Sus scrofa: one gene and its partners. The protein of the gene in region 1 interacts with the protein of each later gene in a biochemical or structural test. Links are inferred from orthologs where the notes say so. Each region holds a gene or a part of one and is shown in the gene's direction. Other genes may lie near its edges.

Region 1 (4,047 bases):
CCTTCTGAACACTTTAAATTTCACTCTGCTCCACTTCCATGGTTTCTGAGAAGTTGCATGTAATTTTCATCTTTGCTCTACTATAAGTAAGGCTTTTTTCCTCTCCTCTGGCTTCTTTCGAGATTTTTCTTTATTTTTGATCTTCTGTAGTTTGAATATGATATGCCTAGGTGTAGTGTTTTTTGGAACTATTCATGATTGATGTCTCTGACATTAGCATTTTACATTAATTTAAAGAAAATTGCTGTCCTTATTGCTTCAAATATTTCTCCTATTACTTTCTCTTCCTGGTATTCCCATTATACATATGTAACACTTTTTTATAGTTGTCTCACAGTTCTTAGATATTATCTTTTGGGTTTTTTTTCCATTTTTTTTTTCCCTCTTTGCATCTCTGTTTTGGAAGTTTCTATTAACATTTCCTTAAGCTCAGAAATTCTTTCCTCAGCTGTGTCCAGCCTACTGATTAGCCCATCAAATGCATTTTTTTATTTCTGTTACAGTGTTTTGGTTCCAGCATTTCTTTTTGGTACTTTCTAAGAATTTCCATCTCTCTGCAGACATTGCCCATCTGTTCTTGCATGTTGTCTATTTTTTCCATTAGCCCTTTGCATATTCATCATATTTATTTTACATTCCTGGTGTAATAATTCTAACAACATTCTTGCCATATCTGAATCTATTCCACTTTATTATTATGTAATGCTCCTCTATATCTCTGATAACTTTTATTGCTCTGAAGTCTGCTCTGTCTAAAATTAGTAGAGTTACTCCTGAATTTTTTTGACTGGTGTTAGCATGGCATATCTTTCTCCATGCCTTTATTTTTAATTTACGTATGTCTTTATTTATATATGCATGCATTTGGTCACACCTACAGCATGTGGATGTTCCTGGGCCAGGGATTGAACATTGCTCTGGCTCTTCAAATGGTGTCTGTCTTTTGCCTTTTAGTATGCCTTACAAGTTTTTCTTGAAAGATGGACTTGTACTGAGTAAAAGGAACTGCAGTAAATAGGCCTTTAATGATGTGGTGGTTAGGTGTGGGGGAAGGGAAAATGTTTTATAGTTTTATGATTAGGTGTCAGTCTTTTGATGAGCCTGTGCTGCTGGGCTGTGAACGTCACACGTGCTTCTCTGTTGTTGTGGGTTTTTTTTTTTTTTTGCCCCACTCCCCCCCCTTAATTGGAACAAGATGCCTAGAGGAGCAGGAGTTGCGTATTTCGCTTCCCCAGTGTAAGAATAGAGCCAGCTGGGGCTGGGCATTTCCCTTCCCCTAGGTCAGTTAGGCACAGATAAAATCCCAGCAGGTTAGGCCCTAGAAAATAGCTTCTCCTGCAGGCGGACCTTGTTAAGAAGTGAGTGCTCTGGCACATTTCAAGGTGGTTCCTCTTCGGCTCCTTCTTCAGGAAACACAAGAAGATTTTCCTCTCAGATCTCCACTGTGAGAGTCTAGTAGGGCTCCTAGAGGCAAAGCTCACAAAGTGTGGATTCCTCTGGAATATTTAATTCTCCGATTTGTCTACTCTGCGGCTCCAGCCACCTGTCAAATACAGTTCAGCTTTCCTGACTGCGGCACTGGTTCCTGAGGAGGTTTCTGCTTGTGGGTTTCCGCTCTGGTAAGTTGTGATTTTCTGTGTCTCCCTGTCTCTCTAATGTGAGGGCCCGAGATTTGCCCTGAGACCTTCGTTCTCTCATGGATTTAAGAGTGGGTGATTTTTCAGTTTGTTCGGCTTTTTCTTGTTTTTAGAATGGAGGAATGACTTTCAAGCTCCTTCCAGGCCAGACCAGGAACTGCACCCCTTTTCCTTTTTATAAAATGATACCTGAGTGATATTTTCTGATCCAGTGTAGAATTTAGTGAAAACGTCTACATTCTGGTCATTGTTGCTATATTATTCCCTTCCGTTAATCCTTTTGGGCTATAATTGTTTCCCCAAATACTTTTTAGCTGTTAACAGTCTAGTTCTTTCCTCTGTTTGTTTTTCTTCAATTCCACTCCCACTCTGTCTTGGAGTGCTAACAACCAGTACCACCCATGTGTGCCAGTTGGGTCAACATTTAAACAAGGATGTACTGTTTACACTGTTGTTTCTAACATTCTGGTTGCAAACACCGCTTTGTGCTTTGTGAATTGAATTGGTGACAGGTGAAACTTAGGCTGATGGCAGAGAATTTGGGGTTATAAATGATGGTTCGAAGCTAGATTTATTTCGTTTTCTCTAAACCTATTAAATCTGTCCAGGTTGAAGCTCACTTGTATTGTATGCACTCACATTACGTAGAGAAATGGCTTTCAGCCTTGCCTTTGTAATAGATTCACTGGCTCTATTTCTATTTAATTGGTCTAGATGGGTCCTGGTATCAGTATTTCTGAAAGTTCCTTGAGTAATTCTACCATGCAATTTGAGGTAAGTCCATTGGTCTGTAGCAATGGTCAGCAAAACTTTTCTTTAAGGAGCGGAGAGTAAATATTTTAGGCTTTGAAGATCATTTGAAGATCATATATTCTCTACTGTAATTACTCAGCTCTCATGTAGCCGCCACAGGCAAATGGGCATGGCTATGCTCTAACAACTTCCTTTCTAGAGACCAAAATTCTAATTCATATACTTTTCATGTGTCATGAAATATTCTTATTCATTTGATGTTTTTTTTCAACTATTAAAAAATATAGGAGTTCCCGTTGTGACTTGGCAGTTAACAAACCTGACTAGGATCCATGAGGATCCCTGGCCTTGCTCTGTGGGTTAAGGATTCGGCGTTGCCATGAGCTGTGGTGTAGGTCTCAGACACGGCACAGATCTGACATTGCTGTGGCTGTGGTGTAAACCAGCAGCTGTAGCTCTGATTCAACCCCTAGCCTGGGAACCTCCATATGCTGCGAGCGCAGCCCTAGGAAGAACAAAAAAAAAAAGTACAGATTGGTTTTGTCTTACAGGATTTACGATAACAGTCTGCAAGTGGGATTTGGCCTAGGGACTGTTGTTTGGCAGTTCCTAGTTAATGGTTTATTTTCTTCACTGCTTCAATTTGGTTCCAAAAGAGAAAATGTTTCCTTAGTTACATCACTGATAATATCTTCAATGAATCCCAGAACTGACTACTTATTTTAAGTCAGTTTATCAGAACATTTTTAAACATGGCAATGCATTTCCTTATTAGGCTCTGAAGTTGTGGCCATTGAGATGCTTTTATCTATGAGTAACAAGCATGGCTTAAAAGGCTTTCAACAGTAGGAAAGGTATTATCTCATTAAAATAGAGAGAATTGCAGGGCTATTGTTATTTGAAAATGTCATCAGCCCAGATGTTTTCCATCTTTCATTCTACTATCCTCAATATTAGTCCTGCCTGATGTCTTGCCTCATGGTGGCAAGATGGCTGTAGTAGCCCTGGGCATCACATGCAGACTCACAACATCCAAAAAAAACAAAGAATAATTCCTTCCTTGAATTTATTTTGAATGTGGGGCAGTCTATTTTTAGACCAAGGCCCTCCTCCTATGTAAATCTCCCCTTAAGTCTCAAGGACCAAATCAGGCCCTGGTGAAGGAATTGAGATTACCATGATTACCTATCATGATGCTTGCCTTGGCTTCAGGATCTGGTCTGCCTTTCACAGGTGGCCCCAGGATCCCAGAATCAAATCAGGGTTCTGATAGCAAAGGAAGAGGAAGAAATGGCAGTGGGGCAAAAAAAAAAAAAAGTCTCACACAGAACTAGATTGTTAGGATTAAAAAAAATAAGGCGGCTGTCTCCTAAACTCCTCATTTCCATTTGTTTATTTACTTCCTTTAAAAGACCATTAGACAATTGTTGAGTACAATTTTCCTGAAAGATAGCTTATTGATTTTTCACTCAAGTAGGTTACATTTTGCTTCAGCCTTCAAAGACATTTCTATTACTCCCTTCAGATTACATTTAAAAAGGAATGTATCCGATTTTGGCTTACTTTGTTCTTTTTCTAAACCTGTACCACGTTGTGTGTGTAGCATAAAAATGTCCATGTCAAAAAAGGTTTAAAAAGAGTCATCACTTTTTTCTTT
Region 2 (3,500 bases), on another chromosome or scaffold:
TTCTGCACAGACTTTTTTTTTTTTCACTATTTCTCATTTGTGACCCATTCATCTTAACACCACAGGTGTTAGACTCAAGTTGTTAAATAAATAAAAAAGGAGTGCTTTTCAGATTCCTTTTTGAATTTTTTTGGCCATACCCATGGCATGCAGAAGTTCTTGGGCCAGCGATCAAACCAGCGCCACAGCAGTGACAATGCCAGATCCTTAACCCCCGATGGGCCATGAAGGAACTCCAGGCAGACTCCTTTGAAAAAGAGATCTCATACACACACTGCTGCTTTTTTTCTAGTGGTCTCTAGGGAGACGCAGTGTGGTAGCCTCCTGAAAAGTCTCTCCTGGATAGACCTGGTTCTTTTGCTTTAGATCCACTTTGACTCAGATCGTCATTTCCCCCAATTTCTAGTCATTTGATTTCCTACTTTGGAGAAACTCAGTTAGTGTTGTTTTGTTGGGGCTTATGGGCTCTAATAGAGGAAGACAAGAGGGATTGGAATGGGTGCTAAGTTAGGTAATTGAGAGCATCTGTACAGCATGAAGAAGAGAGAACTTGACCTGGGTTTGATTTGCAGGTGTGCCTGACCATTTCTGCTGATCATCTCTTAAAGTCCGTGTTGGGGAGTTCCCGTCATGACTCAGTGGTTAACGAATCTGACTAGGAACCATGAGGCTTTGGGTTTGATCCCTGGTCTCACTCAGTGGGTTAAGGATCTGGTATTGCCATGAGCTGTGGTGTAGGTCGCAGACATGGCTCGGATCCCTCATTGCTGTGGCTGTGGTGTAGGCCGGCGTTACAGCTCTGATTAGACCGCTAGCCTGGGAACCTCCGTATACCATGGGTGTGGCCCTAGAAAAGACAAAAAAAAAAAAAAAAAAAGTCAGTATTGGGAAGAGGTTTCTTTTTTTTTTTTTTTTTTTGTCTTTTTAGGGCCATACCCGTGGCATATGGAGGTTCCCAGGCTAGGGGTCTGATTGCAGCTGTTGCTGCCAGCCTTCACCAGAGGCATAGCAACACAGGCTCCAAGCACTGTATGCAACCTACACCACAGCTCACAGCAATGCTGGATCCTCAACCCACTGAGCGAGGCCAGGGATCGAACCTGCAACCTCATGGTTCCTAGTCAGATTCGTTTCCCAGTGCGTCACAACAGGAACTGCAAGAGGTTTCATTTTAATCATGCAGGTTTTTAGTGCTGTTTATGAGAATTGATCTCATTCTTTACTGAGAACTTCTCCTAGTTGGCTTTCTGGTCTCAACTTGGCATTTGGAAAATACGTAATTTCTGTGTTATTTTCTGCTGCTGTCCTGAAAGCCAGAATGAGATTTTTGAGCCTCAGAAAAAGTTGTTTCTTAGGAGGTATACATAAAAGGGAGTAATGCAAAGAATGGCTTATATTGGGGGAGTGAAAAGAGCCTGGGCAGAACTAGCTGATCATTGGGGTTCCTCAGAGGAGCTGCTCAGATTCAGACTTGCTTCTGCTTTCTCTCTTCTCATAGGCTTTTTTACTTAAGGCACTCTCAGTTGAACCCATTACATTTCACCCCCATTTTTAGTTCCTTTTTTCCCAGCTTAAGTTCTCTTTTCTCTTGCATCTATTAAAATTGAGTTTGTAATTCCCCATTAGGATGTACATTTGTTTTTCATGAGAGAATTAACGGTGTATTTATACCAAACACTCACAGGCTTACCAGTGTTCTTATGTCTGGTGACATTTTTTTGCACAGTAGCTGGTACATGTTGGCAGCATGAGATACCTGAGTTTGGAACAGAATAGGCAAATCAGCCTACCTGGAAGCCAAGTCTAGGAACTTAACTTTGAGAGAGAAAAATGAATCATCTAACATGAAGCTTAAAATTTCCCATTCCTAGGAATGATTCTGATACCCTTTGTAAACCCCCTGGATGAGGCTGTGATTAAATTTCCATTTGGCCTTGGGAATTCACTTCTGTCTTAGTTCAAGGATCACAACGGCCCTGGGGAAGTAACCATGACAGTTCTGATGTGTGTGTTCACCTTCCCATTCTAGGCTGTCACCTTGAACTGTGCCCATAGTTTCTGCTCCTTCTGTATCAATGAGTGGATGAAGCGGAAGGTAGAATGCCCCATTTGTCGGAAGGACATCAAGTCCAAAACACACTCCCTGGTTCTGGACAATTGCATTAATAAGATGGTAGATAATCTGAGCTCAGAAGTGAAAGAACGACGAGTTGTTCTCATCAAGGAACGAAAAGGTGAGTGGGTCTGAACAAGAGGTGAGTCCCCTCAACCAAAGGCTTAGGATGATTTTTTTGGATGGAGAGGAGTCAACATAAATGATTCTTTTGTTTTGTTTTGTTTAAAGATTCTTGAGCTAAGTGAGAATTGGAAGAAATGGGGGAAAGTAAAGCAAGTTAAAGATAGTGAATGTGTAAGAGTTGAGGTAGAATAAACTATTATTTGAGCAGCAGGGAATGGTATGGCTTGGGTGTACATGTCTTGGTTGCTGGCATAAAGATGTGATTAGAAAACAGTTTGCTGTGCTGGTCACTAGATGGTGCTGTTGTTCAAGACAGTTTAGTTGCTGTCCATGTGTCATTAAAAACCTTGGGTGTATAATAAATTATAAATAGGATGTGTACGCGTAAAAGACTCACACCTTGGAGAATGCCAAGAAATGTGAGGAAAACATATTTAGATTCACAGTAAGAGTCACAGCTTGATTACACAAATTAGGCATAATATTAATCAAAAAGAAATCAGTTTAATCCTACTGTGTTAACTTTGGACATCCTAATATATTTACCAACAAGTTTCCCAGGCAGAGAGTTTGGATAAAGAGTTTAGGGAAGGAGCGGGTGAGTTTCCTCAAGTAACCATATTTGTGTAGTGACTATCTGCTCATTTAACTAAGTGAGGTCATCACATCTGGCGCCTGCACTGCTGAGGGTTGCAGAGCCACTCTGCATGAGACTTGAATGTCGCTGTGGCAGAAGAATGTGTCTCCTGGGGCAAAGCACAAGGAAGCTAGTGGATCAGAAGGATTGGTTACTGGGTGGGGAAGAGTGCCTGGAGGCAGGATGGATCTGATTATCATGTTCAGTCCCTTTAAAAACCCAGTGGGATTCCCACTGTGGCTTAGTGGTAACAAACCCAACTAGTATCCATCAGGAGCCAGGTTCGATCATCAGCCTCTCTCAGTGGGTTAAGGATCCAGTGTTGCCGTGAGCTATGGTGTAGGTCGCAGACATGGCTCAGATCCTGTGTTGCTGTGGTTGTGGTGTAGGCCGCAGCAACAGCTCCGATTAGACCCCTAGCTGGCAGCCCTAAAAAGACAAAAATAAATAAAAGTTCACCTCCCTTCCAGGTGCTTCCCACCATCTGACTGTTGGGAACCCATGTTCGTGTGTGTGAAGTTGAAGGTTTAAAAGCCACACTGCTAAGAACAAGATCATCTGCCTACTGCATGCTTTCTCCTAGTCCTTCAGTAGATAACAGCCACTTTGAGGAGGACCAGAAAT
Region 3 (4,118 bases), on another chromosome or scaffold:
TCACAAGTCTTCTCTCTCTACTCCGGTTAAAGCTGCGGCGTTTTCACAGATTTGTTTTCCTGTTTAAAATTAAGACAAGGAAACAAACCCTACTTCTGGTTTAACAGTGGAGTCAAGACCATCCATTACTCTTCAGCTTTCTTTTAAGAGAAGATACGAGATTTCAAATAAGCCAATACAAGATTTAAGAGTGATCTAGCAGTCATACCTCTGCAAGATTAGAGATGAAAAAAAAGTGGAGAGGTGGTCTACAAATGGGAAGGTGATAGAAAGCACAGGTGCTTTGGCTGGAAAGGTGCTATGGCCCAAGGAGGCTAGGACCTCAGGCCGGGCTCAGAAGTGGGTCAGGATCTGAGAAAGACCACTAAGAGTGAGGTCTTGGGTTTCCGCAGCAGGAGGCGGGACGCCCACCCTCGCCCTTTCCCCGGAAGAACGCGACGAGGACCCGCGGGCACTGGAGCTGCGCGGCGGCGGGGAAGGATAGGCTGTGCGCGGGCTGCAGGTCGCGGCCGAGGCGGAGGAAACAGCCGCCGCCCCTGCGGAGGGAGTGAGGCCGGGGGCTTCCCGAGGAAGGGCGATGAGAGCGAGTCCTTTCGAACATTTCCACCCGGCTCTCTCGCGTCGGCCCGGCCCCGCCCGGCCCCGCCCCAGCAGCTCCGGCAACCGCCTCCTCCCAGCCGACGCGGGGTAGAGTGGGGGGCGGGGGGAACCAGCACCAGCGCCTTTAAGAGGCGTGGCCACACGCTCCGCCCCCACTTGCCCCTCGCGCGCCAGTGAGGGGTGGGGTGCGGGAGGAGGTGTCCGGACGGGAGGGGGAGTGAGACGTGCGCTGGCGCGCAGGCGCAGTAACGAGACGACAGATCGTGTGTTTCCAAAATGGCGGCAGCGATGGATGTGGATACCCCGAGCGGCACCAACAGCGGCGCGGGCAAGAAGCGCTTTGAAGTGAAAAAGGTTGGGTCTCGCCAGCGCCTTCCTCAGGGAAACTAGAGAGGCGCGGATCTGGCTGGCAGGCCCAGGATGACCAAGGCGCGGAGGAAAGGGCTTCATTTCAGGGCGTTCCGGGGACCGGGTACCACCAAAGGAAGCCGGGAGGCGGGTCTTAGGGTTGATCGGCGTGACTGCGGCCCACTGTCAGTGCCAGTGTTGGTTTCGCTCGGAGGCTGAGGGGCCAATCACGGAGGTGCTTATTGAGATGCGCGGGGTTGCGACTTGGATGCAGGAGCCAAGCGCCTGAGCTGTCACTGGAGTGGTGGAGGGGTGGGGAAGGCGAGGGTGGGGCGGGTGGAAGGGGGAGTCGAGGGCTGCGGTGGGTGGAGGATGGGACAGTACGGCCCAAGCCGGGAACCTGAGGTCCTACCGCATTGGAGGCTTCTGAGGACCGGGCTAGTGATCTCCGTGCCCCGCCCCTATCCAAAGCTTGGGGTCCCTCTGAGGAACCTCGACCTGGTCCTCGCCTAATCGAGGCCTCCATTAGCCCTCTCTGGCCCTCGCCCCTGCCGAGTTAGTTTCTCGAGTGTAACTCTTGGCTCTTCTGAAAGGTCTGTTGATTTGTTACACAGCCGCCCCAGTCCTGCGGTCATATCCAGAATCCCCATCCGAAAAAAAAAAAAAAAGGCATGGTGGAATTTGTTAAAAAGAAAACGGAGCCCAAGTATTGTTTCAAGTAGGGAGGGTTGAATACAAGTTGCGAACAACCTGGTAAAGTGGGAAAGAAGAAATGTGGAACGTGTCTTTTTGCATGAAATGCCTTACAGTGATTTGCCAGCAGTTTGGGAGAAAAGTGCCCATCCCACATTAGATAAAACAAATCTGTCCAAAATGAAGATTCCAAATAGGGAAGATTTTATCCCTGGAACATCTAGCTAAACCCTGACGGTATTCCCCCGTCTAATGCGTTTTGGCGTTTCATTGTGGGCACTGCATGCTCAGTTACAGCCAGCAGCCATATTGAAGAATAGAAGTAAGATTTTTTTTTTCTTCTTTCCTCCAAGTTGAAGCTGTCGGTGAAAAGTGTTGAAGAAGTTGCTAGACATTGAAAATTAGGTTTGAAGGAGATGAAGGTTTGGGACGTGTCACCAAATTAGGGGGTGAAAGGGAGTTTGGGAATATTTATTGCAGAAGCCAGAGGTTGAATTATTGAAATACCACTTTTAGATAAACTCTTAAGGAAATTATCCTAGCTAAATATAACAGTCTGAGCATATAAAAGTTGAGAACATCAGCTTATTTGATGATAGGAACTATACGAAATTCCAGTGAATTTTAGAGTTTGTTGTGAAATAATCTTATAAGATTTAAGCGATGACCTTGTTCTATGGACTCACACTGGGTAGTTATCCAGCTTATCCTACGATTACCCGTTTTATGATCCAATCAACATCTTAGTTCATTCTCTTCCTAGCCTTCACCTGTCCATTCCTGCGTAAAAGCTGCCTTGAAGAGCAGGTATTTATGCAGAAATTGAGCTCTTTTGCAACTGCCAGGAGAACCTGCACAGTAATTCAAGTTTGTGATTATTAGACCTAAAACCGACACTTATAAATTATTCCTGATTTATTTATATTGATATGGCTGACTAAATTAAACTGTAGGAAAAAATAAAAGATGATATTCATTTGTGTTTATATAGTTGACAGTTTAGAGAATGGGTAAGCATACGTGTAGCCTACTGATGCTCTCTGATATAATTTTAAAAAAAAGAGTCATGTAACATCCAGAAACTCTTGTTTGGTGGTCTTTGTGGCCAAAAAGGTGATAACTACAGGATGAAATCCTGGAGTGTGTGTGTGTATGTGTATGTGTGTGTGTGTGCACGCGTGTGCGCTTGTGTTAAAAGAGTAGCATGCATTGTTCCCCCTTTTTCTCTTTGCAGTGGAATGCAGTAGCCCTCTGGGCCTGGGATATTGTGGTTGATAACTGTGCCATCTGCAGGAACCACATTATGGATCTTTGTAAGTAATTGGAGGAGGATGGGAGGAAGTTTGAGAAGGTTACAGAGATTGCAGCTATCCTGATGTGACCAATTTTCTTCTTCACGAGGAAAGATAAAGTATATTCTTAGCACTTGGGGACTTCTGCATTTGGTGTGTTGGTATGTTTGAAATAAAGTAATTTTTTTAGGGTGTCCTGAAGGCATATCCATCTCTCAGAATAAGGCTATTCAATCTAAAGATAAGGCCACATTTAGAATGAATTGCGGGCACAGAGGTACTGTTGATTATTTCTTCTCCATTTCCCATCTTGCACCCAGACTTAAAGGCAAAAATAGTGAAAGAAAGAAAATTAACTTTGAGCTAAAATATCCTAGCAGAGCAAATGTTTGCTGGGGAAGATTTATGAAGAGGTCTAAGGAGTATGCATTTTCAGTGTTAGCCCCAAATGTAGTTAACATCACTGCCAACATCTAAATAGGTAGTTAATTGCTCTAAGAAAATTTCATTTAAATTTCCATATAGTCCATTACACATAGTGGTCAGCACACAGTAGGTTTAATTATAGCTGTTAATGGACTTAGTATTTCTGTAGTACTAGGGGCAAGAATTATTGATCACACCAGGAGCAGTTGAGGTTACTTTTTATTCAGTTACTAAAATGGTTTGTTACTGAGATCAGAAAGAGGACAAAGAAGAGTTCCCGTCGTGGCTTAGTGGTCAACAAACCCGACTAGTATCCATGAGGACGGGGGTTTGATCTCTGCCCTTGATCAATGGGTTAAAGATTTGGCACTGCCGTGAGCTGTGGTGTAGGTCACAGAAGTGTCTCAGATCTGGTGTGGCTGTGGCTATGGCGTGCGCTGGCAGCTACAGCTCTGGTTCGACCCCTAGCCTGGGAACTTACATATGCCACAGGTATGACTCTAAACACACACACACACACACACACACACACACACACACACACGAAAGAAATAGGGCAAAGAAATTTCAACGTTCTAGAATTGAAATTTTAACTTATTTTGAAAACCACATACGTGCCTCTTCAGCTTTATCTCGAGCCACTCTCCTTACTCTGGTAGTACCCTGGCTTTCCTTCTATTCTGGAACTATCCGTGGTCTTGTATAGAGCTCTTACATATCTTGTTCCCCCTACTGGAATATTCACCGCCTCTTCTCCCC
Region 4 (3,964 bases), on another chromosome or scaffold:
TGTTTTCAATAATTAGATTTTATTTCATAGTTAAAAAACAAACTAACAAAACTCATTATATGAGGTACCAAAAACTTGTCAAATTCATAGAGACAGAAAATAGAATGGTGGTTGCCCAGGGCTGGGGGTGGGGGTAGTTAGTGTTTAATGCGTACAAAATTTCAGTCTAGCAAGCCGAAGAGTGGACACAGATGGCAGTGATGGACACCCAAATACCCCAATTTGATATTGTTTTGAGGTGTAGTCACTTGAAAAGCAGCAAATGCAGAGTGAGGCTTTCACTCAACTCCCCTAATCTGCCCAGACAGATTTTGCAAAAGAAACTCAAGGGAGTTTTCACCAACCAGGGAAGATTGGCTCTTAAAACAGGAGAGACAAACTTTGACACCAAACTTTGTCATCAACTATCTTGTCTCCATCTATTCTTCTATTTTCTCAGTAAAAATTATTTACTCTCCCTTTAAGAGAATTTCCTATTAAGATGGTATTTAAGCCTAAATTCTAAAGCCTTTTTTTTAAGTGACACATTTTCCCCCAGAGGGTAGCTCCCATATATACACAAGGTGTGCATATTACTAAACTATTGTTTTTGTTTTCTTTTGTTTTGTTTCTCTTGCTAATCTGTCTTTCATTACAGGGGTCTCAGCTAAAAGAAGGATTCCCAAAAGGAAAATTATTTTTCCTCCCCTACAATATAATTAATGCCACTGAGCTGTACACTTAAAAATAGTTAAGATGATACATTTTTATGTGTATTTTGCCACAATTTAAAAACAGCAAATTAAAAAACAAAACAAAACCCCAGTGAGTTAAAAAATTTCTTAGTGTTTCTAAGTTAGGCAAATTTGGGTACTGGAACTGAATCTGACTTCCTGACTGGCGGGGGGATAAGATGGGTTATTTTTAAGCTGGAGCAGTTTGTGTTCTGCCACAGAATGCAAATACATAAATGTAAGCAGGAAAACGGACAGAGTAGAGTCCCTAGGGCTTCTTTTTATTTTTTCTCTCCTAAGCTGCAGATTCCCTTTTATGGTTATATAACTGATGATGACGCAAGTCAAACCTTTCCCGTCCAGCTCTCAGATTTCACCCTTTCTCTTGGAAAGAAAATGTTTGCTGGTCACTACGTAGACACTCTCATGACGCTGAGTTAAGTCCCATACAAGGTGGTGACCTTCAGGAGAGCTGAATCCTTTGGGGAAAGGAGGAAAGGCAGACAGGTAGGCTCCAGTCCAATCCCCAACAGCCCAACACCCAGGCCCTTTGTGAGCTCAGCCCATCACGTGCTCTTGCCTGCCCGCCAATCCTGCCGTGTTGCTGGGCCTCTGTCACTCTTCCATTGGTGCCAGCTCTGAAGCCATCCCTTCTGGGGCACCTGCAAAGGATGGATCAGTGGGTGGAAGGAACTGAAAATGGATCCAATGACTCATCCTGCTTCTGGCATATTCTAGCACATTGCATTCTAGGTCAAGGGATTTTAGGTTGTAGGAACGTGACTTGGTACACGATCCCCGAATCCAAGTGGGACATTTAGACTTTGGGAGCCCTTCTCAGCAAACAGAAAAGCAGCTCTAACAAAAACAACAAAAATCCTCCGTAGAGCAGAATTTGTCAACCCATTGCATTGCTGACTTTGGGGGCTGGGTAATTCTGTTTTTGTGGGGGACTGGCCACTGCAGGATGTTTAGTAACATCCCTGGCCTCTACCACTAGATTTTAGCGGCACACCTCAACCCCAACACCACAGCTGTGACAAGCAAAAATGTCTCCAGATACTGCCAAGTGTCCACCAAGGGACCAAGTCGCTCCTGGTTGAGAACCACTGCTCTAGAGAAACAGCATCTACCTCCCTGAGAGTTTACTTCCCCCTCCTCCCTTTCACTTCAGTGCCCTTGGACAAATGTTTATTTCTATTTGCTTCAACAAAACCCACTGTTGGACTTAGAGACCAAAATTCTCTAGTAGAGAATTTTCCTGCTAGAGACAACATCAGTGTTGTTAGCGCCTAAGAATATTGTTTTCTCTTTGGAGATAGCCCTGGGACCCAGTCCTCACCCTTGGAGCCTTTCTTCTTCCCCCTCTCCCCCTCTTTCTCCTTTTCACCTTCCCTTGCCTCTGAAATCAGGTCTGTTTTTCTCTGTAGTTTTTGGACTCTTGAAAAAAAAGCTATGTCACAAAGCTCGTGACTCAGCCTTTAAACAACATGAATCATAAGACCTGCAGTGAAAGAACAGCCAAAAGAAAACAGGGTGTGGTTTGAAGCCAGGCCTAGTCACCTGAGAAAGAACCTCAGCTTTTTGTTCCTCTGAAAACTTCTTTCTGGAATTCAAGAAGGAAACCTTATACAGAGCTTTGATGTTCTGTTCCTTTAAACCCTCTTTTCAGAAATTTAGAAATATCCCTCACAGAAATCTCTACTGGAAGTCACTGAGGTCTCCTGCTAAACTGAAAAATGACATTTTATTTTTATTATTCATTTACATTTCTTGGTAATGAATTCATTCTCTTTGAAAATGTTTAAAACGATAGGAGTTAAAGTCTGTTTTGAATACTGCTTAGACCTTTCCCATAAATACCTACAGACACAGGTTGCCAAAGAAAACATAGTTTTGTTTTTATTCTCATTTTAAGTACAGTATTTAAATAACATAATGTTTATAATTCCAACAGGAATGTAGTCTTTTCCTAATAGCAGGGTATTTTTTAGTCGGTTCTCTCTTTTTCTATATATTTATTGAAAGCTTCAAGGGTAAAAATTAAAAACACCCTCCCCACATTTATAGAAATAGAGAATATTTCTAGAAGAGTCTAGAAAGAACAGTGGCTAGGGAATTGAGTGCATGAGGGAGGTTTTTCATTATAAACTATAGAAAACCTGTTTTAAGTTTTCATCACGTTCATATATTTTAAAACATTTTTAAAATATGCCTTTGGAAAAAAATTTAAGTATGCTTTTTGAAAAAAGGAAAAAATATGCTGGAGAAATGACACAGAGATCACAAAATAAAATATCAAAATGAAAAAGATCTGACTGGTGATCTTTTTCTTTTATCCAAATGGAATTTGTCTATAGATTTAAATTTCATACTTGGGGTCTTTTTTCCACCAGGACTATACAGAACTTACAATTAGTGTCCTTTTAAAAATCTCAGGCTCAGCGATAAGAAAGGAAATGTATATATATGCATGACTATCATTTTGCTGTAAAGCAGAAATTGACATTATAAATCAACTACAATAAAAAACTTCATTAAAAAATAAAATTAAAAAAAAGAAAAAAAGAAAACGTGGGTTTAAATAGATTTGATTTCTGATTTCTGAGTTCAAATGGCAGCAGAAGTGAAATTCTGATGCCTTCTTGCTCATAATCGGGAACAAAACAGGAAGGCCGAAGAGCAATCCGCAAAGTTCTGTCAGCTTTCAGGTCCAGCGCAAGGAGTGTTTCACAGCTGTGTGGAATTTTTGCTTTTACTTTTCAAAATTCAATGTGAACTTGTCACAGGCATTTCTCCTTTGGACACTTATTTTTCACTCCTGCGTTGTGAGAAAATTCCTGCAGGTCCTGACGACCCTCCTGAGGCGGGCTTGAGGCCCGGCCCCGAGATTTGTCGAGTCATTCCTCTTGTCCCGGTGCCCGCCCGCAGGGGGATGGGTTCGGCCGCCACAGTTGGGGTGACTAGACCCCCCGGGAAGTCCTCGCGACCCACTGGGGGTGAGGGGAAGTTTATGGAAACAGAAACACTATCGTTACCTATGGGAGACCCAGAATAAAGACCCCACGGTTTCGCTGGCGGGGAAGAGGGGTTGGGGGGAGGGGCACGGCGGAACTCGGGCCAGGGGAGCGGGACCCCGATTCATCGTGAGGCGCTCGGCGGGACCCCTGTTAGCCGAGGGCGGGTCTCAGGAAAGGCGAGCCTTCCTGGTTGAGGGGAGGGGGCGCCGGGGACCGGCAGCGGGGACAGCC
Region 5 (2,264 bases), on another chromosome or scaffold:
GGTTCTCAGGGGAAGTCTTCAGTCCAAAAGGAAGCAAGGTCAAGGTGGGTGGGGGTTTGAAGAGAACAGAAAAGGTATGAGATGGGTGTCGGGGAGAAGGGGAGGGCGCCTAGGCTGAGGGAGTGAGGCCTTGACTCCTACAGGGAGGTTCAACAGACAGAGAAGAAATTTCACTGAGTTTGGGGAGGGAACCAGAAAAGATGGAGCCAGTGCCTGAGGGTGGGCGGGGTAGAGCTTAGAAGGAGGTGAGGGAGGCTGTGTCCAGCCCCAGGCTGTGCCATGGGCACCACGCTGCCCTGGAGCTCTCCAAGTGTGAAAGGTCCTTCCCTGGAAAAGCTGCTTTGATCAAGGACTCAGTCACTTGCCCAGCCGCTGGTGACCCGTGCAACCTATGTGTCCAGAAGTCAGTTTCCTGAGGCTTTGGGGGCTCCTGGTAGCATCACCAGAGTCAGCAGCCAAGGATGGCAGGTGGCTGCTTGGAGCTTAGTTGCCACCTGCTGTAGAGCAACCTCGTCAGGGCGGTTTCCTCGGCCCGCCCTGGCTCTGGCCTGATGTTGATGGGCCCGGGTGGGGCGGGGGCTGCCTCTCCGCAGGACCTCCACAAAAAGTACTCGTACATCCGCAAGACCAGGCCTGATGGAAACTGCTTCTATCGTGCTTTCGGTTTCTCCCACTTGGAGGCGTTGCTGGATGACAGCAAGGAGCTGCAGCGGTGAGGAGGGCGGGCCCTCGAGCACAAAGAGGCGGGTGGGGCAGGGTCCTAGGAAGGGCCCGAGGGGCTCCCTCCATCCTCCTGGGGACCAGGAGGTGCGGTTCCCGTGCTGCCCGGGCCCCCACCTCTGAGCTGGCCTCTCTGCTGGCCGAGGAGCCCGCGCAGCCTCTCTTTCCCTCCCGGCTGCAGGTTCAAGGCTGTGTCTGCTAAGAGCAAAGAGGACCTGGTGTCCCAGGGCTTCACCGAATTCACAATTGAGGATTTCCACAACACGGTGAGCCTCTCGGCCGGGTGGAGGGCGGGGGGCCTGGCCGAGGCAGCATCGGCCCATCTCCTCCCTCACTTGCTCTCTGTCCCCCTTGGGCGGCAGTTCATGGACCTAATCGAGCAGGTGGAGAAGCAGACCTCAGTGGCCGACCTGCTGGCCTCCTTCAACGACCAGAGCACCTCGGACTACCTGGTGGTCTACCTGCGGCTGCTCACCTCGGGCTACCTGCAGCGCGAGAGCAAGTTCTTCGAGCACTTCATCGAGGGTGGGCGGACCGTCAAGGAGTTCTGCCAGCAGGTGCTGCCCCCTCCCCGCTCCCCAGACTCACTGGGGCCTCAGGGTGGGAGCCTCGGGGCCCGGGGGTGCACCGGGTGGCTGGGGGTGCGGAGGCGCCAAGACCCAGGCCCTGAGCGGCCCCTGTGCTGCAGGAGGTGGAGCCCATGTGCAAGGAGAGCGACCACATCCACATCATCGCGCTGGCCCAGGCGCTCAGCGTCTCCATCCAGGTGGAGTACATGGACCGCGGCGAGGGCGGCACCACCAACCCCCACATCTTCCCCGAGGGCTCCGAGCCCAAGGTCTACCTTCTCTACCGGCCTGGACACTACGACATCCTCTACAAATAGGGCTGGCCCGGCCTGCCGCCGCCCTGCCTGCCCTCCCCTCTGCCAGGCACTAGACATGTACAGAGGTTTTTTTTGTGGTTGTAAATGGTCGTACTTCACCCCCCACGCCCTTCCCTGTCACACGACCTTCCATGTTTTATTAAAGGGGACGCTGGTGGTGAGCCGCGTGTGTGCGTGTCCCTGCTCTGCTGCTGCCCTCCTGGCTGCTCTCTGTCTGGCTGCCCCACCCCCCTCAGGTGGCTTCCTCTCAGCCTTCCACCTGTCCACCCCCAAGCCTCCCCGCCAGGAGTAGTTTTGAGGGGGCTAGGCCTCTTGGGGACCCCTCCTGGTTATTGGGCCTCTGCTTCCTTCCCTTCAGGCCTCTGCCCCTGCCCTCCTTAGCCAGCCAGGCCTTCCAGGGGAATTTGGAAGTTCCTTGGAGACTGGCCCAGAGCCCCAGGACCACCAAGGCTTCCAGCTCTGCCCTCATAGGCCACGCCTCCGCCCTGCTGCCCTGGCCTCCCCGGCCACCTGCTCTCCATCAGGGGTCTGCATGGTGGAGAGGGCTGGCCTGAGGGTGCGGCCTGGCTCAGGGTAGGCGGAGGAGCTGGGCCACCCTAGTGCACCCCAGGTGCTGCCCTCCGGGCGGGGGAGGGCTGTCCTCAAGTCTGTCCTTCCC
Region 6 (2,451 bases), on another chromosome or scaffold:
AGATGGACATATGTCTGGCTGGCTGGACAGAATGGATGGCATGTGCCAAGGGCTCATATATAGTTTTGGATGGGGTTCCCGTCGTGGCGCAGTGGTTGACGAATCCAACTAGGAACCACGAGGTTGCAGGTTCGATCCCTGGCCTCGCTCAGTGGGTTAAGGATCCAGCATTGCTGTGAGCTGTGGTGTAGGTCGCAGACGAGGCTCAGATCCTGCGTTGCTGTGACTCTGGCGTAGGCCAGTGGCTACAGCTCTGATTAAACCCCTAACCTGGGAACCTCCATATGCCACAGGAGTGGCCCTAGAAAAGGCAAAAAGACAAAAAAAAAAAAAAAAAAAAAAAAAGTTTGGATGGTGGAATAGACAGAGAGATGACAGATGGCTGGATTGATGGATAGACAGGTGGACAAATGTCTGGCTGGCTGGACAGGATGGATAGATGGATGGATGGATGGAAGGATGGATGAATAGATAAAACCAACGAACAAATATTACATTTAGGGAAAGTTTGAAAAGTGAGAGCCCTTCGGGCACCTTGTCCCTGACCCCTTGGGGTGATGCTTTCTTAGATGCCGTTAAAGTCATCCTGGACTACAACACCGCCCACAACAAGGTGGCCCTGTCCCAGAACTTCACCGTCGCTTCTGCGGCCGACACGTCCCAGGACTACCAGCCACATCCCCAGAGGTTCACCTACTGCTCGCAGGTGTTGGGCCTGCACTGCTACAAGAAAGGGATCCACTACTGGGAGGTGGAGCTGCAGAAGAACAACTTCTGCGGGGTAGGCGTCTGCTACGGCAGCATGCCGCGCCACGGCCCCGAGAGCCGGCTTGGCCGCAACAGCGCCTCCTGGTGCGTGGAGTGGTTCAACACCAAGATCTCGGCCTGGCACAACAACGTGGAGAAAACCCTGCCCTCCACCAAGTCCACGCGGGTGGGGGTGCTTCTCAACTGCGATCACGGCTTTGTCATCTTCTTCGCCGTGGCCGACAAGGTCCACTTGCTGTATAAGTTCAAGGTGGCCTTTGCGGAGGCGTTGTACCCGGCCTTCTGGGTGTTCTCCGCAGGTGCCACACTCTCCATCTGCTCCACCAGGTAGGCAGGCTGGGGACCCTTGGCTTGACTGCCTGGGCCGTGCTGGAGACCCTAATGAAATTGCTGCAGGTGGGACTCTCAGGGAGCTGCCCTGAGCGTCCCCAGGGGTTGCAAGGATGGGAGGGGAGTGGGTGAGGGTGAGAGGGTGGGAAGACGGGGTAAGAGGAGGCTGTTGGCCAGGGCAAGGGGTGGGGTGATTGTGATGTGGGCAGGGAAGCCCTTCTGCTTCCTGGTGCCCTTCAGGGGAGGGACAGGATGTCCCCCCTCCCCTGACTTGTTCTCTGGACAGCTGGGTGGGGCTTTGAGAATAAAATCATTAGCACCCTTTTCCTCTTAGAGATAATCCATAGCCACTCTGGGTTCTTCCTTAGGCTGCTGGTGTCTGCCTCTTTGCTCTCTGGAGGAGCCTTCAAATCTTAGTGTTCGGATGACTCTCTGTAGAGCTGTTCGACTCTCTAGATTTAAAAAAAAATAACTTCCAAAGTCACTGAGTTTCAATATGACTCGCCCTCCACTACCTACACGTGGAGGTTGGGGTGAATGCTCAGACTTCTGGTTATTGGCTGTGCCCGAGGGAAGTGACCCACAGGGGGTCTCCAGCCAGACCAGAGGATTCCCAAAGAAGGATGGCCTCTTTCTGCACTGGCACATAGCCCTGTTTCCCTTCCTGTCCTGCACATCTCATCACCCCATCCATGGTGTTAAAATGTGTAGGCAAATAGGAACCTTTTCAGTGTCAGATTTCAAACCCTGATCTGAATCAACCTGGGTTGAATTTGCGATTCAAGGTCAAGGTGACCCAGGTCCCACGTGGATGGCAACACCCCTCCCCACTTGCGCCCCGTCAAACATTACGAAAGGCATCTTGGCCAAGATGCCTTGGCTGCAGCCATGGAGCCTTCTTCCCCTAGCCCAGGCTTTGGGACAAAGGACTCCGCTAGGCAAGAGGGACCCTCACGGGGTTCACAGTTGGTGGTCTTGCTCTCGTTAGCGTCTCTTGCCTTCTAACTCATCACTGTCCTCAGTGAGAGCCTCCCCTCTCCTGGACTGTGAGAGTCTGGACTGGCTGGGAGAGCCACATCCACTGTGGCCAGCACTGTTGAACAGTCAGCCTAGCCTGCTGTCACGCAGACAGGCCCTCTGTCTCGGGGACACACTAGGTCACCTGCTGGGGTGACTCCCTACGGCCAGAAGGGCCTTCCAGCGAATCCATGGGAAATGGCACCATGCCTCCCAACCCAGGCGGTCCTTGCATGAGACAGAGGCCTGTCACCAGCCCTAGCCCCGTCCGTTCTCCTTGGCTGAGCCAATTCCAGGTGTAGATTGTCTTGACCTGGTGAAGAATCAGGAAGACTT
Region 7 (2,842 bases), on another chromosome or scaffold:
TGCACGTTGATATACCAGGGTTTATGTTAGTGTGAGTAAAACTTTATCACACTCGAAGATACAAAGCTGCTTTTTGCTATTTGAGGATCTCTTCGCATGAACCATCAGAGCTGGCTGGTCACATTCTTGTTTCTTTTCCCTCAGGGGCCATCAGTCCAACCTTTGACCTAGGGAGCCTCTCCTGTAGCCTGGAGGTGTCCGAGGATCACCGGACGGTGACCGTATCTCACTACCCACAGTCCTATCCCTGGAGTCCCGAGAGGTTTGCCTCCTGCCAGGTTTTGGGTTCCCAGGGCTTCTCTTCTGGGCAGCGGTACTGGGAAGTGGACACCCAGCGTTGTAGCCACTGGGCAGTTGGGGTGGCTTCCCGGGGGATGAGGCGTGACCAGATCCTGGGAAGGACCAGCGACTCCTGGTGCGTGGAGTGGAACGGGGCTAGCCAGCTCTCTGCGTGGCACGTAGTCAAGCAAACTGTCCTTGGCTCAGACAGACCTGGTGTGGTAGGCATCTGGCTGGACTTCGAGAAGGAAAAGCTCGCCTTCTATTCCGTGGCTGATCAAGAGAAGCTTCTGTACGAGTATCCAGTCTCTGCCTCCTTTGCTCTGTACCCTGCCTTCTGGCTGTATGGCTTATATCCTGGAAACTCTCTGACTGTAAGGCAGGTAAACCTATAAACGTTCCTTGGGTGTGAAAACATGTTGGTTTCCCAGTCTCTCTGGCTTCAGGCAGGCCGGCAACTTGGCTTAAGAATCCCACTTCAGGGAATTCCTGTTGTGGCTTAGCAGTTTAAGAACCCAATTAGTATCCATGAGGATGCAGGTTCCATCTCTGGCGTCGCTCAGTGGGTTAGGGATCCGGTGTTGCTGCAAGTGGCGGCATAGGTCACAGATACAGCTTGGATCTGGTGCTGCTGTGGCTGTGGTGTAGGCCTGCAGTTGCACTTCCAGCTCGACCCCCTAGCCTGGGAACTTCCATATGCCGCAGGTGTGGCCCTGGGAAAAAAAAAAAAGATTCCCATTTCAGATGTTAAGGAATTCGAAGTAAGTGCTTAACTCAGCAGGCTTAGGTTGTTCAGATCCGCACATTCCAAAGAAAGGAGAGTCTTGACTGGGAGATAACTTCAAAGCCCTTGGAGGAGTTCCTGTCGTGGCACAGTGGTTAACGAATCTGACTAGGAACCATGAGGTTGCCAGTTTGATCCCTGGCCTTGCTCAGTGGGTTAAGGATCTGGCATTGCCGTGAGCTGTGGTGTAGGTTGCAGATGCGGCTCGGATCCCACGTTGCTGTGGCTGGTGGCTGCAGCTCCAATTAGAATGCAAAAAGACAAAAACCAAAACCAAAACCAAAAAAAAAAAAACAAAGCCCTTGTAATATCCTGCCTGATAAGGTGTCTTTCTTTACCTGAGGGTCTTGGGCCAGGCAGTATCAGCTTGACCTCTGGAGGGACTGGAAACTAAGGTCATGATGTGGGTGGTGGGTCTGCCTATGTGACCGACCCCCCAGTCAAAGCCATGGACACAAGTCTTGGCTGGGCCTCCCGGCTGGCAATATTCTGTCTGTGTTGTCACACATTGTGTTGGGAGAATTAAGCCTTATTCTCCTGACTCCACTGGGAGAGGAAATTAGGGGTCTCCTGGCCCCTGCCCTATGTGCCTTTTTCTATTCCTGTTTTGTTGTTGTTTTGTCTTTTTAGGGCCATACCCTCGGCATATGGAAGTTCCCAGGCTAGGGGTCGAATCAGAGCTATAGATGCTGGCCTACGCCACAGCCACAGCCATAGCCACATCAGATCTGAGCCTCGTCTGTGACCTACACCACAGCTCATGGCCACACCGGATCCTTAACCTTCTTTTTTTTAAATTTTTTTTATTTTTTTGTCTTTTTTTTTTGCTATTTGTTGGGCTGCTCCCGAGGCATGGAGGTTCCCAGGCTAGGGGTCTAATCGGAGCTGTAGCCACCGGCCTACGCCAGAGCCACAGCAACTCGGGATCCGAGCCACGTCTGTGACCTACACCACAGCTCATGGCAACGCCGGATCGTTAACCCACTGAGCAAGGGCAGGGACTGAACCCACAACCTCATGGTTCCTAGTCAGATTCGTTAACCACTGCGCCACGACGGGAACTCCGGATCCTTAACCTTCTGAGTGAAGCCGGGGATTGAACGTGCATCCTCATGGATGCTAGTCAGATTCATTTCTGCTGAGCCACGATGGGAACGCCCGTCCTGGCTTTTATAGTAATGGCTTCCTTGCATCTTTTGTTTTAGCACCTAAATATGTGTTCCTAGCTGCAAGCATTTAGTCTTGCCCATTAAAAAAACCTGATACATCTTTTTCGTAATAGCTTTGTTGAGATTTGATTTACATACTGTAAAATTCACTTCAAGTGTACACATCAGTTTTTTCATATATTGACAGAGTTGTGAAACCATCACCACTGTCTAATTTTAGAACATTTTCATCACCCCCAGAAAGACCCCTGATACCCATTAGCAGTTGATATGTCTTTGAAGTCTTCTGATCCGAAGCTTTCCCCTCCCTTTCTTCTTCCGATTCATCTGTAGGCTCCCAGGCTGCCTCCACACTGGTGGGAGAAGTGGAAATTCAGTTCCGTTGGACTGGGCCGGGCAGAAAGTCTGGCCACACAAACCAGCGAGGCAGCCTTTGATCGTGCATGTCACCTCTTTGCCCCTTTTCCATGTAAAAGGGCAGTGACTATTCTTTGCCCTTCCTGATCTTCCCCCAAGGGTTGCCGAGAGAATTAAATAAATAGATGAGGCCATTGGAAGAATGCCAGGGTGATTATAACCACAGCAACCACGAGGGAATATATTTTCCTAT

Evidence for each region.
Region 2: the proteins of ubiquitin-conjugating enzyme E2 N-like (region 1) and RNF8 form a complex in vitro, tested with the Homo sapiens proteins (7 studies listed by BioGRID). The link is inferred for Sus scrofa from reciprocal best matches to the Homo sapiens genes UBE2N and RNF8.
Region 3: the proteins of ubiquitin-conjugating enzyme E2 N-like (region 1) and RBX1 form a complex in vitro, tested with the Homo sapiens proteins (5 studies listed by BioGRID). The link is inferred for Sus scrofa from reciprocal best matches to the Homo sapiens genes UBE2N and RBX1.
Region 4: of the proteins of ubiquitin-conjugating enzyme E2 N-like (region 1) and UBC, one has a biochemical effect on the other in vitro, tested with the Homo sapiens proteins (21 studies listed by BioGRID, with this or other methods). The link is inferred for Sus scrofa from reciprocal best matches to the Homo sapiens genes UBE2N and UBC.
Region 5: the proteins of ubiquitin-conjugating enzyme E2 N-like (region 1) and OTUB1 form a complex in vitro, tested with the Homo sapiens proteins (6 studies listed by BioGRID and IntAct, with this or other methods). The link is inferred for Sus scrofa from reciprocal best matches to the Homo sapiens genes UBE2N and OTUB1.
Region 6: the proteins of ubiquitin-conjugating enzyme E2 N-like (region 1) and TRIM25 form a complex in vitro, tested with the Homo sapiens proteins (3 studies listed by BioGRID, with this or other methods). The link is inferred for Sus scrofa from reciprocal best matches to the Homo sapiens genes UBE2N and TRIM25.
Region 7: the proteins of ubiquitin-conjugating enzyme E2 N-like (region 1) and RNF135 form a complex in vitro, tested with the Homo sapiens proteins (4 studies listed by BioGRID). The link is inferred for Sus scrofa from reciprocal best matches to the Homo sapiens genes UBE2N and RNF135.

What each region holds. Positions count from the first base shown.
Region 1 is NC_010443.5:26,024,561-26,028,607, forward strand, and holds the start of ubiquitin-conjugating enzyme E2 N-like, read left to right. Parts: upstream 1-1,247; 5' UTR 1,248-1,619; intron 1,620-4,047. UniProt on the Homo sapiens protein: The UBE2V1-UBE2N and UBE2V2-UBE2N heterodimers catalyze the synthesis of non-canonical 'Lys-63'-linked polyubiquitin chains. This type of polyubiquitination does not lead to protein degradation by the proteasome.
Region 2 is NC_010449.5:32,959,312-32,962,811, forward strand, and holds part of RNF8 (E3 ubiquitin-protein ligase RNF8), read left to right. Parts: intron 1-2,029; coding exon 2,030-2,234; intron 2,235-3,346; coding exon 3,347-3,393; 3' UTR 3,394-3,500. UniProt on the Homo sapiens protein: E3 ubiquitin-protein ligase that plays a key role in DNA damage signaling via 2 distinct roles: by mediating the 'Lys-63'-linked ubiquitination of histones H2A and H2AX and promoting the recruitment of DNA repair proteins at double-strand breaks (DSBs) sites, and by catalyzing 'Lys-48'-linked ubiquitination to remove target proteins from DNA damage sites.
Region 3 is NC_010447.5:7,512,065-7,516,182, reverse strand, and holds the start of RBX1 (E3 ubiquitin-protein ligase RBX1), read left to right. Parts: upstream 1-1,318; 5' UTR 1,319-1,893; coding exon 1,894-1,963; intron 1,964-2,404; coding exon 2,405-2,448; intron 2,449-2,875; coding exon 2,876-2,954; intron 2,955-4,118. UniProt on the Homo sapiens protein: E3 ubiquitin ligase component of multiple cullin-RING-based E3 ubiquitin-protein ligase (CRLs) complexes which mediate the ubiquitination and subsequent proteasomal degradation of target proteins, including proteins involved in cell cycle progression, signal transduction, transcription and transcription-coupled nucleotide excision repair.
Region 4 is NC_010456.5:28,252,693-28,256,656, forward strand, and holds the start of UBC (polyubiquitin-C), read left to right. Parts: upstream 1-1,164; 5' UTR 1,165-1,220; intron 1,221-3,964.
Region 5 is NC_010444.4:8,088,028-8,090,291, reverse strand, and holds the end of OTUB1 (ubiquitin thioesterase OTUB1), read left to right. Parts: intron 1-593; coding exon 594-712; intron 713-901; coding exon 902-986; intron 987-1,082; coding exon 1,083-1,277; intron 1,278-1,408; coding exon 1,409-1,606; 3' UTR 1,607-1,764; downstream 1,765-2,264. UniProt on the Homo sapiens protein: Hydrolase that can specifically remove 'Lys-48'-linked conjugated ubiquitin from proteins and plays an important regulatory role at the level of protein turnover by preventing degradation.
Region 6 is NC_010454.4:33,185,990-33,188,440, reverse strand, and holds part of TRIM25 (E3 ubiquitin/ISG15 ligase TRIM25), read left to right. Parts: intron 1-569; coding exon 570-1,099; 3' UTR 1,100-2,451.
Region 7 is NC_010454.4:42,793,255-42,796,096, reverse strand, and holds the end of RNF135 (E3 ubiquitin-protein ligase RNF135), read left to right. Parts: intron 1-144; coding exon 145-674; 3' UTR 675-2,342; downstream 2,343-2,842.